Drosophila melanogaster: one gene and its partner. The protein of the gene in region 1 purifies or fractionates together with the protein of each later gene. This does not show direct contact. Each region holds a gene or a part of one and is shown on either strand. Other genes may lie near its edges.

Evidence for each region.
Region 2: the proteins of CG5568 (region 1) and Synd purify together in Drosophila melanogaster (affinity purification with mass spectrometry, with the first as the bait; one large-scale study listed by BioGRID). This does not show direct contact.

The regions. Positions count from the first base shown.
Region 1 is NT_037436.4:5,869,573-5,874,025, reverse strand, and holds CG5568 (uncharacterized protein), read right to left. Parts: upstream 2,526-4,453; 5' UTR 2,429-2,525; coding exon 2,261-2,428; intron 2,205-2,260; coding exon 1,693-2,204; intron 1,642-1,692; coding exon 684-1,641; 3' UTR 508-683; downstream 1-507. Other genes in the region: CG18586 (uncharacterized protein), read right to left, coding at 1-168, 226-393.
Region 2 is NT_033777.3:20,831,173-20,838,846, reverse strand, and holds the start of Synd (syndapin), read right to left. Parts: upstream 6,049-7,674; 5' UTR 5,974-6,048; intron 4,451-5,973; exon of another isoform or gene 4,382-4,450; intron 3,623-4,381; 5' UTR 3,620-3,622; coding exon 3,516-3,619; intron 2,973-3,515; coding exon 2,863-2,972; intron 1,263-2,862; coding exon 925-1,262; intron 813-924; coding exon 586-812; intron 523-585; coding exon 402-522; intron 335-401; coding exon 224-334; intron 172-223; coding exon 1-171. Other genes in the region: CG31223 (uncharacterized protein), read right to left, coding at 6,416-7,571, 7,631-7,659.

The sequences.
Region 1 (4,453 bases):
GTTGAAGAAGCATGCATATGCCACAGCTGATTGGTGAGTCGTGTGTCTGCCCATGACCCCCACTATATCAGTTTGCCCCAAGCCCATATTCCTCATATAACTAGCCACTCGCATCGCATTCATATGAAGATCTTCGCGGGTGAGTACGATGTCCTCCGTGATCGAGATCTGGTGGTTCAATGCAAATCTATACATTTCTCTGATTTCGAGAGAAAAGAAACTCACCTGGGCAATGAGTTTCGGATTGTTTACCATATCCCCAAAGATTATCTCTCCGATTGATAAGTTTGGCGAAAATAAACTTGGTGCTTCACGACCACTCCAGATCTTGAGTTTATCATCATAAGTGCACATCGCGTTCAATAGTTTTTGTTTTACTTCCATTTCAGCCATTATAAGAAAATGCTGAGTCGATTATTAGTTTTTAAGTAAATTATGCTATTATAACCCCTCGTATCAGCAATGCTATTTCACAGCAATAATGTACATAATTACGAAAGATCAGCTGTATTAACGATTTTGTAATCGATATGTGTTTCGGTATTATTTTACTCGGCGAATATGAAAAAATGCCTAAGATGGCGAACCTCTTAAAAAGCTTACGATAAATACAACAAATACAAATACAAATACAATAAAAATACAAATACAACATAAACATTACAATAATTAAATATGCAAAACTAATTCTTCTCCATAATTCGTAAAAACTCAGCTTTTGTGGCCGCTCTGTTTGCTTTTCTATTGCCACTCTGAATAATGTGATCCACAATCAAAGCTCCTCCATTCAACTGCTTAAATTTGGCAGGTATACGTTTCCTCACATACTCCACAACATCCTGGGCCTCTAGTTGGGTTCCTTGTTTCTTGACCACTGAAGCGGCTGCCTTATCTCCATAAACGGGATCCCAAATGCCAAAGACACAAGCTTCCACAACATTTGGCATTTCAGCGATGACACTTTCAATCTCGCTGGGGTAATACATGATGGTCTGATACTTGAGCATATCCTTCAAGCGATCGATAATGAACAAATATCCATCCTCGTCCATGTAGCCCAGGTCCCCGGTGTGAAACCAGTTCTCCGAGTCCTGCATCTTCTTCGTTTCTTCCGGATTCTTGTAGTAACCAGGCCATTTCTGACCATTATTGAAGCATATCTCGCCCACGACATTGGGTCCTTGTGCTTCACCCAGCTCGTTGACTATTTTGATTTGAATGCCTCTAACCGGACGACCCACTGAATTGGGTTTCTCATCGAAGTTGAAGTTTAGGCATCCGGGGCTGTTCAACTCGGTTAGTGTATAACTGAAATTTACACATTCGTTGCTTAGACGGCTGCGAATTTTGTTCTGGACTTCCAGTGAGCAGTTTGATCCGCCGTAAAAGAAATACTTCACGGATGATAGGTCCGCCGCATAGAATTCCGGGCAATTGGACAGCATCGCCAATTGCGAGGAACTTACGAACACCATCGATATTCGATACTTCTCAATTAGGCCACACAAATTGGCAGGATCAAAGTCACAATCTTCAATTATACTAGTCAAGCTAAACACGGCTGCATTGATGGTCATCGTGATGCCTGATGCCCAATCCAAAGTGTTTGGGTTATACTGAATAATCGAGCTATCCACGGGTCTGAAAATAATAAATTAGATGGGTGTATAAAATTAAGGTGGTAATATTTACAGAAAACTCCCAATAATCTGGTGACTATTGCTAATGGTGACTGCCTTTGGAAGGCCGGATGTTCCCGAAGAGCTAAGAATGGCCAGTAGTTGATCAGTACCGTCTTTCAGTCGCACTGGTCGAAAGTTCATCTCCACGGGAGTGGTTAAAATATCCTGAATTCTCAATATTCCTGCCGGGTGATTACGCATGGTTACTATTTGTACCTGAAGGCCTTTGGTGGCTGCTTGAACTTTCTCAAACTCATCTCCATCACAGAAGATTAAGCGTGGCTTGGTTATTCCGAACAGTCTCTCGATGGCAGATTGTTCGTATTCGGTGTGTAGGGCATGATAAGGAGTTCCATTAAAGAAACAGGCATAGGCCAGAGCAGTCAAGTGAGTGGTCAACCTGCCAATGACTCCCACAAAGTCACCTTGCTCCAGACCCAGTTTACGCATATAACTTGCCACCTTCATCGCGTTTGTCTGGATGTCTTTCCAGGTCAGCTCAGTGTTTTCTGTAACTGAAATCTAAAGGTTTTGTTTCGATGAATATAAATATTGTTTCTTGTAAATTTATTAAGTACCTGGGCAGTGAGCATAGCATTGCGCTCCATTTGTTGAAAGATAATTTCTCCAATGGACAAATCTGGTGAGAATAAACTGCGTTTTTCGCCACCACTCCAGATCTTTAAGTTTTCATCAAAGGTGTTTCTTGTCTTAAAGGGCGATTTTCCCGCTTGCAATTCACCCATTTTGTATAATACGTTAAGAATTAAAATGAAGGCTTATAATTTATATATCTCTCTAACTTCTGTGATAGTAATACCATAAAAACGAAAGTGATAGACGCAAGAACTCGAATTTAAAGCTTCAAGTTAGGTCTCACCATTATCAACTGACTTATTATATCGATATTTCTTTGAGCTAAGAAAGAGATACTAAAAGTTTTGTTCATAAGTGAATTTATTTCATCTACCAATCAATTATTCCGTCACTGTTGCCATACTAATCATATTTACTATTTATGTTTACTTAAGCAATGATTAATTGCCAAGACTGTTTTCATGACCGCTGATAATCCGATTTTGAGATTGCATCCCATAGTAAAATACTCAAAAAGATGTCGAAAAGTGTTTCAGCAAATGGTCAGCTGGGCTGGACTGGAATCTCCACCACCACCAACAATAAGATTATGATAATGGGCAGCCGTCAAAGAGAGGATTATGGGTTTTGGAAAACAAGTGGATTAAGGGGTTGACAATTGGGGGAATGTGCTGTCAGGAATTTGGCTTTTGCGTTTTGCATTTGTTTTTACGATTATGACCGACATGGATGGATCGGAATCGAAATCGTTCAGTTCTGCTCTGTCCCATTATGATGCGCTATTTTGAGTGACCCTGTCCTCCGCAAACATAGCGAAACTAATAAGTAAAATGTGTTTTTCAAACATTGATTTCGGCCAGTGCGTGGTGGGTGGTGTTTTAGGAAACACACACACACACACCCCCTTTTCGAGACGACAACATTTGTCATAAGGCCAAGACAGCCTCAACAGTTGTTGGCGATTATCATTTTGACAGTTGCTTCTCGCTTCGCTTTTGTTTCAGTTCCCTTGGCTGCGTTTTGGGCCTTGATTTATGCATTTTTAAGCGGTTCACTTATTGTTTCTGCGCACAAATATGGCCAAGTATCTCGGTATCTGCGAGATACAATCCCCTAGTCAGCCCTTGCCGCGTAATTTGTTGATTTATTGCAAGGCTGCCACTGCAGGCATCTTCATTAAGCAGCACTAGCTTCCGTTTTTTATCCGGCCACGCCCGTCGTCTTGCAGCGCCCACGATTCGCTTTCATTATCATTATCCTGCCGGCATTGTCCTTAGCCTCGTTTGTCATGCTCGGTGCGTCTGCTTAAGTTTTCGCACGCTCCAACGCCTCGGCTTCCTTGGCGCAGCCTTCAAGATGTGGAAATTGAATTGAAAACGTGCTGAAGCGTTAAATGCTCTTGTGTCAACTGCTTCCAATCCACCCAAACCTCCTCGCCCCCAAATGTCCTTCTGTCCATCACATTTCGTCCTGTGTGTGTGGCGACATATGAGAATTTGTAACCTCAGCACAAGCTGGTCCGAAGTTGCGGCTGCGTCGGCCGTTCTCCGCTCGCCCCCCAAAAAGTTCCCGGCCAAGTGGCAAGTGGCAAGCAAGCGGGCCATAATTAATTCCAAATTGCATCCGCAAAGGATTGCCAAGTTTCGCTGGCCAAAACTTATCGAAGGTACGATGCAGAGTGTGTTGCTTAAGGGATTACCGAAAATCTGCTTTTCAATATTGCTCATCTCTTTAAGAGCTAAGTAACTGTTCAGGAGCAAGAAAATTCTTACCCAATGTAATTTATTTGTAATTTTTTTTATATTTATAGCCTAAAAGTATGCTATTGCGTTTTATAAAGTTCCATATTTGGCCGGTAATGATGATGGCGCTATTCTACTTTGTACTAAAATTATATCGGCGACATCTAGCGAACATTGTGTGAAGTCGCAGCAGCTACGAAACGCCATCTGCTGGTCGAGCTGAGTTTCATAGCTATTAAACTATGTCAGTCAGAAACGTGTACAACAAATATATGCAAGGAAGTCTGTAGTCAAGCTGTCTAAAGTGTCTGTCTAGACAGCTGGTGGTTGCGGTTCAATCCCAACTTTGGTCAGCACATTTAGTTTGTTTTTGTTTTAAATTAAAATATTGTTTTTTTTATATACTTCATTCATATAAATTCATATATGGAC
Region 2 (7,674 bases), on another chromosome or scaffold:
TGCTGCTGCCGTTGCCGTCGCAGCGCCGGCAACCGCCGCCGATGTTTTGGCTTCCGATGTGGTGACTGAGGATTGCGTGGTCGCTATTTCGCTCTTCACACTCGCTCTGCTGCTGACACTGCTCAAGGTGCTGGTGTTCTTCTTCAGGCTGTTTGTCTGGGGGTATTCCTGCTAAAGAGCTGGCTTAGTCTGATATTAACTACTGGGTAGTCAACTGGCTTACGTGCACATCCTCGGCCACAGGTCGCTGGTTGATGAGCGTGATGGGTGCTGCCGGCAGTGCCTCTTTTGATTTGTTGCCCTTGGCAATGTCACGGAACTCCTCCGTATATTCCTGTCAACAAATAGGAAGTTCTTCCATTAGCGGCCACACTGGGCTTCAGTAAAAACAGAAAACTCACCACAAATGATGGCCAATTCATGGCCATGTTAATGCCATGATTGTTCGACCACCATTTTAGGTCTTTCTGCTGGTCTGCATTGTTGATCGTGTGGGAGAACTCCTCGTAGATTTGGGGCAGGCTGTAAGTCATGTAAAAGTTATTTAAATGGATCAGTTAAACTCAAATCAAATTCAATTCGCACCTTTGCACTTTTGTGAGGTCCAGGCACGAGTGCACGTTGAACAGGATTTCTTTGAAGAACTGCAAACGCGTCTTCTCAAAGGTTTGGCACTTTTCAAACACGGATGTCATGTCCTCGATGTACACCGAATTGTATTTGGTGATTTCGGCAATCGCCTGCTCGTACTTTTCCCGGCACTTTTGCACTTGATCTTTGGTCTTTTGCACTCGATCGTGCATTTTCTTCACCTAATTAGGAAATGAGAAGTGGTGTGAGCATAAAATTAATAAATAAATTAAATTAATAGTTATACATACATATGTATAACTAAACTATTGCTTTTACAAAAAAGATCCTTACCTGATCCGGCGACAACGAGCTATCGGCATTGGCATTGCGTTCCTGATTGGTAGCACTGCGCTCCGTCTTGCAGGCCGAATGGTAGTCCGCTTTGGCCTTCTCGACCTTTGCCAGCAGCTTGGCCCAGGGTTTCTGGGCCTTCTTGAACAGATCCTCCAGGTCCTTGCGCTCCTTGATCTGCATAAGCGTGTGGTGGTAGTTCTCCTTCTGCCACGTCTTTATCTGGCTGTTCACATCGTTGCAGAGATTGTCCTTGATCTTCATGTGAACGTCGGAGATGCGTTCCGATTCCGTCAGAACGCCCTTCCAGGCTGCCTCCGTGGTTCCGTATTCCGGGCCTGAAACAAATCAGACATTCGTTATATATCTCTTTTAGCGTTTCTCAATTAACAACAGATTACAAGCGTGTCACCCTGTCGAGCTGTTTGCGGCTGACGTCATCGTGAGCCCCGCGGGTACTTGGTTTATCTAATCAGCCGCAGCCGCAAGATATATACAAACATACATATGTAGCCATATCTATAGGTATAGCAAATATAAAATGCCCGAAGAATAAGCGCTTGTATGGGTGCTGCGATGGAGGAACATCGTACATTTTTGGCATTTTTTATTGGGACCCCAAACACACGGCAATCAAGTTGATATGATGCTCGTCTTATAATTGGCAGTGCACGGAACTCGTTTGCCTAACGACTCACTATTCCCAATTCCCCCTGTGAAAAGGCACACAAACAGATATATAGAAATTGAGACGCTTAGCACACAAATAACTCGTTCTATTTTCTCGTCGCATTGATTTTTGAAACCATTTCAAGCGACGCTCTGGTGCCGGTTTGCTTTGGTGCCGAGTTATGGGCCACTGTCCAGCGCTTCTGCCTCCCAGTCTCCGTATCTGTAACTGTGAACGTATCTGTATCTGTATTTGTATCTGCACACGTATTCGTATCTGTATCTTTGGCTAGACGCGGCTAGGCAAATTCCTCGCAAATAAGAAAACTCGAAGAGCACTCGGAGGCGGAGGAAGTGATGGTAGTCGCTTTTGCAATTGCCCATCGCTGGTTACTGTGAAAGTGGACACTGAGAATTCCGTGCAGAGGCGGTCACAGAAAATAGCAGCAATAGAAGCAAACAGTACCAATGGGGCAAAGCGGTTTCCAACTTCGCAAGCGCTGTACTCGATTTCATTTTACGAAGAAGCGCGCACACTGTGCCGGACATCCGCTAAAAATGGTCAAAGACCCAATTCCGAAAACAATGAGTGAGTCGATGATTACCGCCGTTTTCGAAAATAGTATTTGGTAGTGTGTACTTATAGAAGTACATATATGAGGCAATAGCAAGGTAATAAAACCTTAAGAACCCATATAACTTATATATCAAAAAATAAAAATTGTATATTACTATAAAGCAGAAACCCACAGATATTTGATTCTTTATTTATTTATTATTTTCTCTTGTACAAACTTAAGATTTCCGCTGCCGAATTTTAATTGTTTAGAATGAAGAGTGTGAAGAGTGTATGCATATGTTTATGTTAGTTAATCCAAACACTTTGCCAGCCCCGCTCATTAACATACTTAAATAAATTGGTGTGGCGATTTTGAACCACAGTGCGCAGCTTTTGCAGAATACAACCGACAAAAACGAGGTAACGAAAAACGTAAAAAAAACCATTAATAGCTTAAGCCACTTATCGCACAACGGCAACAACAATGCTCAGAATGATGTACAGAATGTAGAAAATAAGAACAGCCAGTGGGCCAAATAAGTGGTGGGAATTCAACGTGAGCGGGTCACTTGATGCTCCACTGGGCTTTTAGCTCGTGAATGAATGTGTTGGCCAACAGAAGGCTTCCACGACTGATGATGTCTCATCCCACAGGCCACAGCCACCCACATCCCCATATCTCACCAGATCCCCACCTGCCGCTCACTTACCTTTCTCAATGAGTTCACCCCATTTCTTTGACCAGGTGCGCAGGCTTTTCGCATATCCCTTCTCGATGTCGGCACGCTCCTGAATCAGTTGCTGTAGGTCATTGCAGAGTCTGCGGGCGAAATGAGACAAGAATCATAATAATGCAAACCGGTTTGAATTTTTGTCTTGGGTTTGGGCTTCGGGTGTCGATATATTCGGCTGGCAATGACCCAGCGTCGCCCAGTGCAAATACACAGAGAGAACCCATTACCTATTTGCTTAAAAAGATTGATTGTATCACTAGAAATCAAAGCTCATTAAAAAAGTTTATGAAATGTCCACATAAGTAGAACAAATTGAGTTAATACTAAGACCAATGCTTATACCAAGGTCTTTATATTTTCTTATTTTTTTCCCTTAAATAAATACGAATTGCTGTAAGTTTGCATTCAAAACAATGTGATGACACTGCATGACCTACTAAACACACAGAAAAGATACAGTTACCAATACCAATTGGTATGACAGAAACGTTGAAAAACGATTGGGTTGCAGCTACGAATATGTTTTTGAATATTAAGCCAATTGTATTATGTCGAGGAATTCGACTGACATAATGGCAAAATAAAGTATCTCTCTGTGCACCAAGACTCCCTGGGGATTATCCACTCACTTGTAACCATCCTCGATCCGCTTGGTGGTGCGTTTGTAGTTGCCGGGCTCCCAGAAGGAATCGCTTCCAGCCTGGAGGAGCTGATCATCGCTGTGGTGGGACATTTCCTGTGGATTCCAATCAATATTAATCAATCACATACGACGGGCTTAAGCGCAATAATCGTAAAATATGAGTTTTGTTACGTAAATAGACACTGCAGACATAAACAACTTCCACACAGCAGCAACAACAAAAAGCTCTTTGTTTATACGCAAACTTGTATTTTTGTAGTGTTTGGCTAAGACCAACAAATCGTTTGTTAAACGACATACTATAGTAAACCCAAACGAGACGGGCTCTGAGTAAATTTATTGTTTGCCTAATTTGTTCAATTAAGAAATTCCTTCACATTGATGCAACAGGCAGAACTTTAATTACTGGAGCCTTATCAACGACCATATTTCTTGACGGTTTCGCCGAGTGTCCCCATTGATAAAGACTGGACTTATCACCCCTGACTCATTGTGCAACTTTGCATGGTGTTCTGCCAATGGGTTTACTATTTTCAAATTGGAATATTAAGGTAATGTCTTATTTTAATTGAAAAAATTTTCTTCGAAACTAAAAAATAAACATATTTTTAACCATATTAAGATAAATAAATATTTGTAATTTATTTTGAATTCGATTATTTTTAGTATCGCTTTCAAATATTATTTCTGTTTTTTGAGATAAATAGATAATGTTGACAGATTTTCTTTCTGTGTAGCATACATTTTCCACCGTAATAGTTTCATCTTATCAAGGGAATTCTCATGCACCCATATTTTGTAACCCAGATAAATGAGATCCCAAAAATTGAATTTGAAATTTAATATACATACACGCTTCAGGTGTTCTGCATTTCTGATTGTACGCTGAACAGTTGATACGCTTGTTTTTACTCCGGACAAATTCGAAAATTAGAATTCGAAGCAATTCTAACAATTTGGCGTTCTGCTTGCTTTGATAGTGCTTTTTTCTTTCCTTTGAAGTTATTCCCATATGCCTCTGGAACCTTCAAATATCTATCAACAGTTCTGCAGCTGCGATTTATCTGTTTGGCAATGTTCCGATTAGGCAATCCTTGCGAGTGTAGGAAGTCTACTTTTTGACGTTCCAATAAGCAGCAGCTTTACCCATTTTTTCTTCAAATGTAGCTCGAAAACACTTTATTCGTTTATTTGTTATATTTTTTCAATACAACAGTTTATACTTGTCCACGCAATACGAAGAAATTTAAGCTGCATCTAATTCAATGACCAACAGAAAACTTTGATAAGAAAAGCATTTTGGACAATTAAAAAAAGCATGCAAATAAATGATCGATTTTGTTAAAAAAAAAACGATTGTGCGTCTAACCTAAGAGCAGCAGTGTACATCGTATTGGAGACCCTTACGTGTGACAACATTTAACATTTCAATTCTCTCTGTGTAGCGAGCTAAATTTTTTCATACTCGGCGATGGGAAATCTTGGTATCTTATCAGTGGAGTGGAGTTTCCCTGCATCAGCTGTTTGTAAACAATGCAGTCAGTTTGAGTTCCACTCGCACACACCCGTATGGTGAATAACGGTTATGTTATCAGCAGCATTGACCGGTTATATACATGCTTTCTTATTTATATATGTATAATAACCTCTGCTGAAGTTTAATCACCTACACACATGTGTAGATTGGTGATGTTGGGTCTGCTGAATGTGGAATCTTGTATCTTGGGTTGACTTGATTTGGGCGTCATCGACTCACGATGCGCTTACGGATTTTCCCCATCATCGGCTATAAATATAAATATAGGATCGCGGCTCAGTGCGATTTTCGTGTTTTGCGTGTGGAAATGGCCAGCAGAAAGTTTACAAACAGGTTGACGCATACTTCGCATATTTGTGGAGATAGATAAGCACCTTTACGGCGCTCTCACAAGCACTCGCGCCACACACACACACACACATACGTATATGCACATCTAAACCAACACGTCGCACACTTAGGCGATAAGAAATCCCCCTCCGCCAAACAACCAAGAAACTCGTTTATCTTTGAGATTGAACTTGTCTCGACCGTTTCTACTGTAAATATTTGCATCGTTTTCCAGCACACCTTACATAAGGTTTTCTTGGGGCGCTGCTATTAAAATGCTTTCGCTGTGCACTAATTTTTAGCAGGCGAAGCGTACGAAGAGCACTTGCTGGCCGATTGGATTTTGTTGTTGCCAGACGCACACCGACACGCACACACGCTCGGCTAGGTCACACAAACACACGGGAAGCGAAATTCCGCTACACCCAAACGCGTTTACATGAAATGTTCTGTTCTAAATTGCGATCGCTTTTGTTGTTGCTGCTGCTGCAGCTGCACTGCATTTAAATGGTTGTTAAATAATCCTTGGCTTTGGGTCTCTGGCACTTGTTCATACCGAAGCAGGGCGACAACCTACCAATAACAAAATAGCGTAAAAAAGCACTACAACTCGAGTGTGTGTCTGGAATCGCCAACTAAAAAAACTATGTGAGGTGTGACCGTTTCGCGACCATTCAAATACACCTCGCGGCTAGCTGAAAATACCGCTCCATACGAATACAAAAATACCGAAATGTATTTAGGATATACATTTATTTTTAAGACATCTGTACATATTTTTAAGTACTAGTTACAGTACTAGCACAAAGTCAAGTTTTACTTAAACCAATTTGTTCTTTAAGTCCTTAAAATACTGAAGTTTCCAATCAAAATGTGTACACTAATTATACATAGTTGTATTTAAATTCCAAGTAAAATAAAACAATAAAATAACAATCAATCTATAGTCAATACCGCTCCAAATTTTGTGGACAATATAAAAACAGAATTATTTTGAAATGTTTATTTTAGAGGATTGCTTAAAGGACTTCTTCCCGCGCCACATACGACAGCATAAACTCGATTTTGCGAACCAGTTGCGCCAGTTTGGTGCGATCCAATTGCACACTTCCGCTGGCCAAAGCGAACAGCTTCTGGAACTCGGCTTCCTGGGTATTCTTACGGCGACTGATTGCCTTCGTCTGCTGCAGCAGATAGAGAACATCACTAAGGGCGGCCAACTTGTGCTCCTTCGTAGCCATCAACTGGCGGGCATCCTGCTGCAGCTGCTCCCTGTTGTCGACGAGGAAATTGGCACCTCCTGCAGCACTTCCAACTGCAGCCGCGCCGGCAGGACCATTACCCGTGGTGATGGCTTCCATCTCTACGGAGACAATAGCGTCCTCAGCATCCTCGAAGTTGGTGCCGTACTTTAAGGTGGCGCTGAGATTGACAAGGTGGGCCACTGCCTCGCTGGCATTGGTCCTCTGTTCGCCGCCAAAGAAACGAGCCACACAGGCGTAGGCGCTTAGTATGTTCCACAAATTGTAGTGCAGGCACGGAGACGGAGTTTTCTTGCATATATCGGAGAATTTGGCAATGCTCCCGAAAATTTCGGGAACACGGCTCTCTTTCTTGGCAGCTTCTTCGGGTGTAGGTATAATCACAATCTTAGAGTTCTTCGGCTTGATCCACCAGGGCTTGTAGTCTGGCATAAGCTTCATGATATCTCCATTGGTGATCAATTTCTGGAACTCATCTTGCTCCTCTGTAGTTAACCGGCTCCAAACTTCATCCGCATCGTTGATATCAACGCCTTTCAGTCGAGTTGCAATGTCTTCCTCCAGGTCTTCATCCAGTATGTCCCCCTCGGTGACGTTTTCTTCCGCCTCATCTTCTTCTGACTCTCCTTCCTCGCCTCCATCCGAGTCCAAACTATTTTCCAGGCCATCTGTATCAAATTCCTGGGGATTGAAACCACTGTCCGTTTCTCTCATCCTCTTCAGTATGTCGTATATTTTCCGCATGTCCTCCTGGCTTTCCTGCGTTACCGTGTTTTGGGTCAGCTCGTCCTGAATGCAGGACTTGTAGAAAGCCTCGGAACATTTAAGGTGCTCCTTGGACTTGTAGCATCCCACGCTGCAATACAAAGCATTGCACTTGGGACAGGTGTACTTGAAGGACACCTCGCGACAGCTGCAGGAGATTAATATATATTGAACCGCTATAATTAATATTACTTGTTAACTACTTACAAGTGACACTTTTCATCGGCTTCCGACATGGTCAAACAAAATGG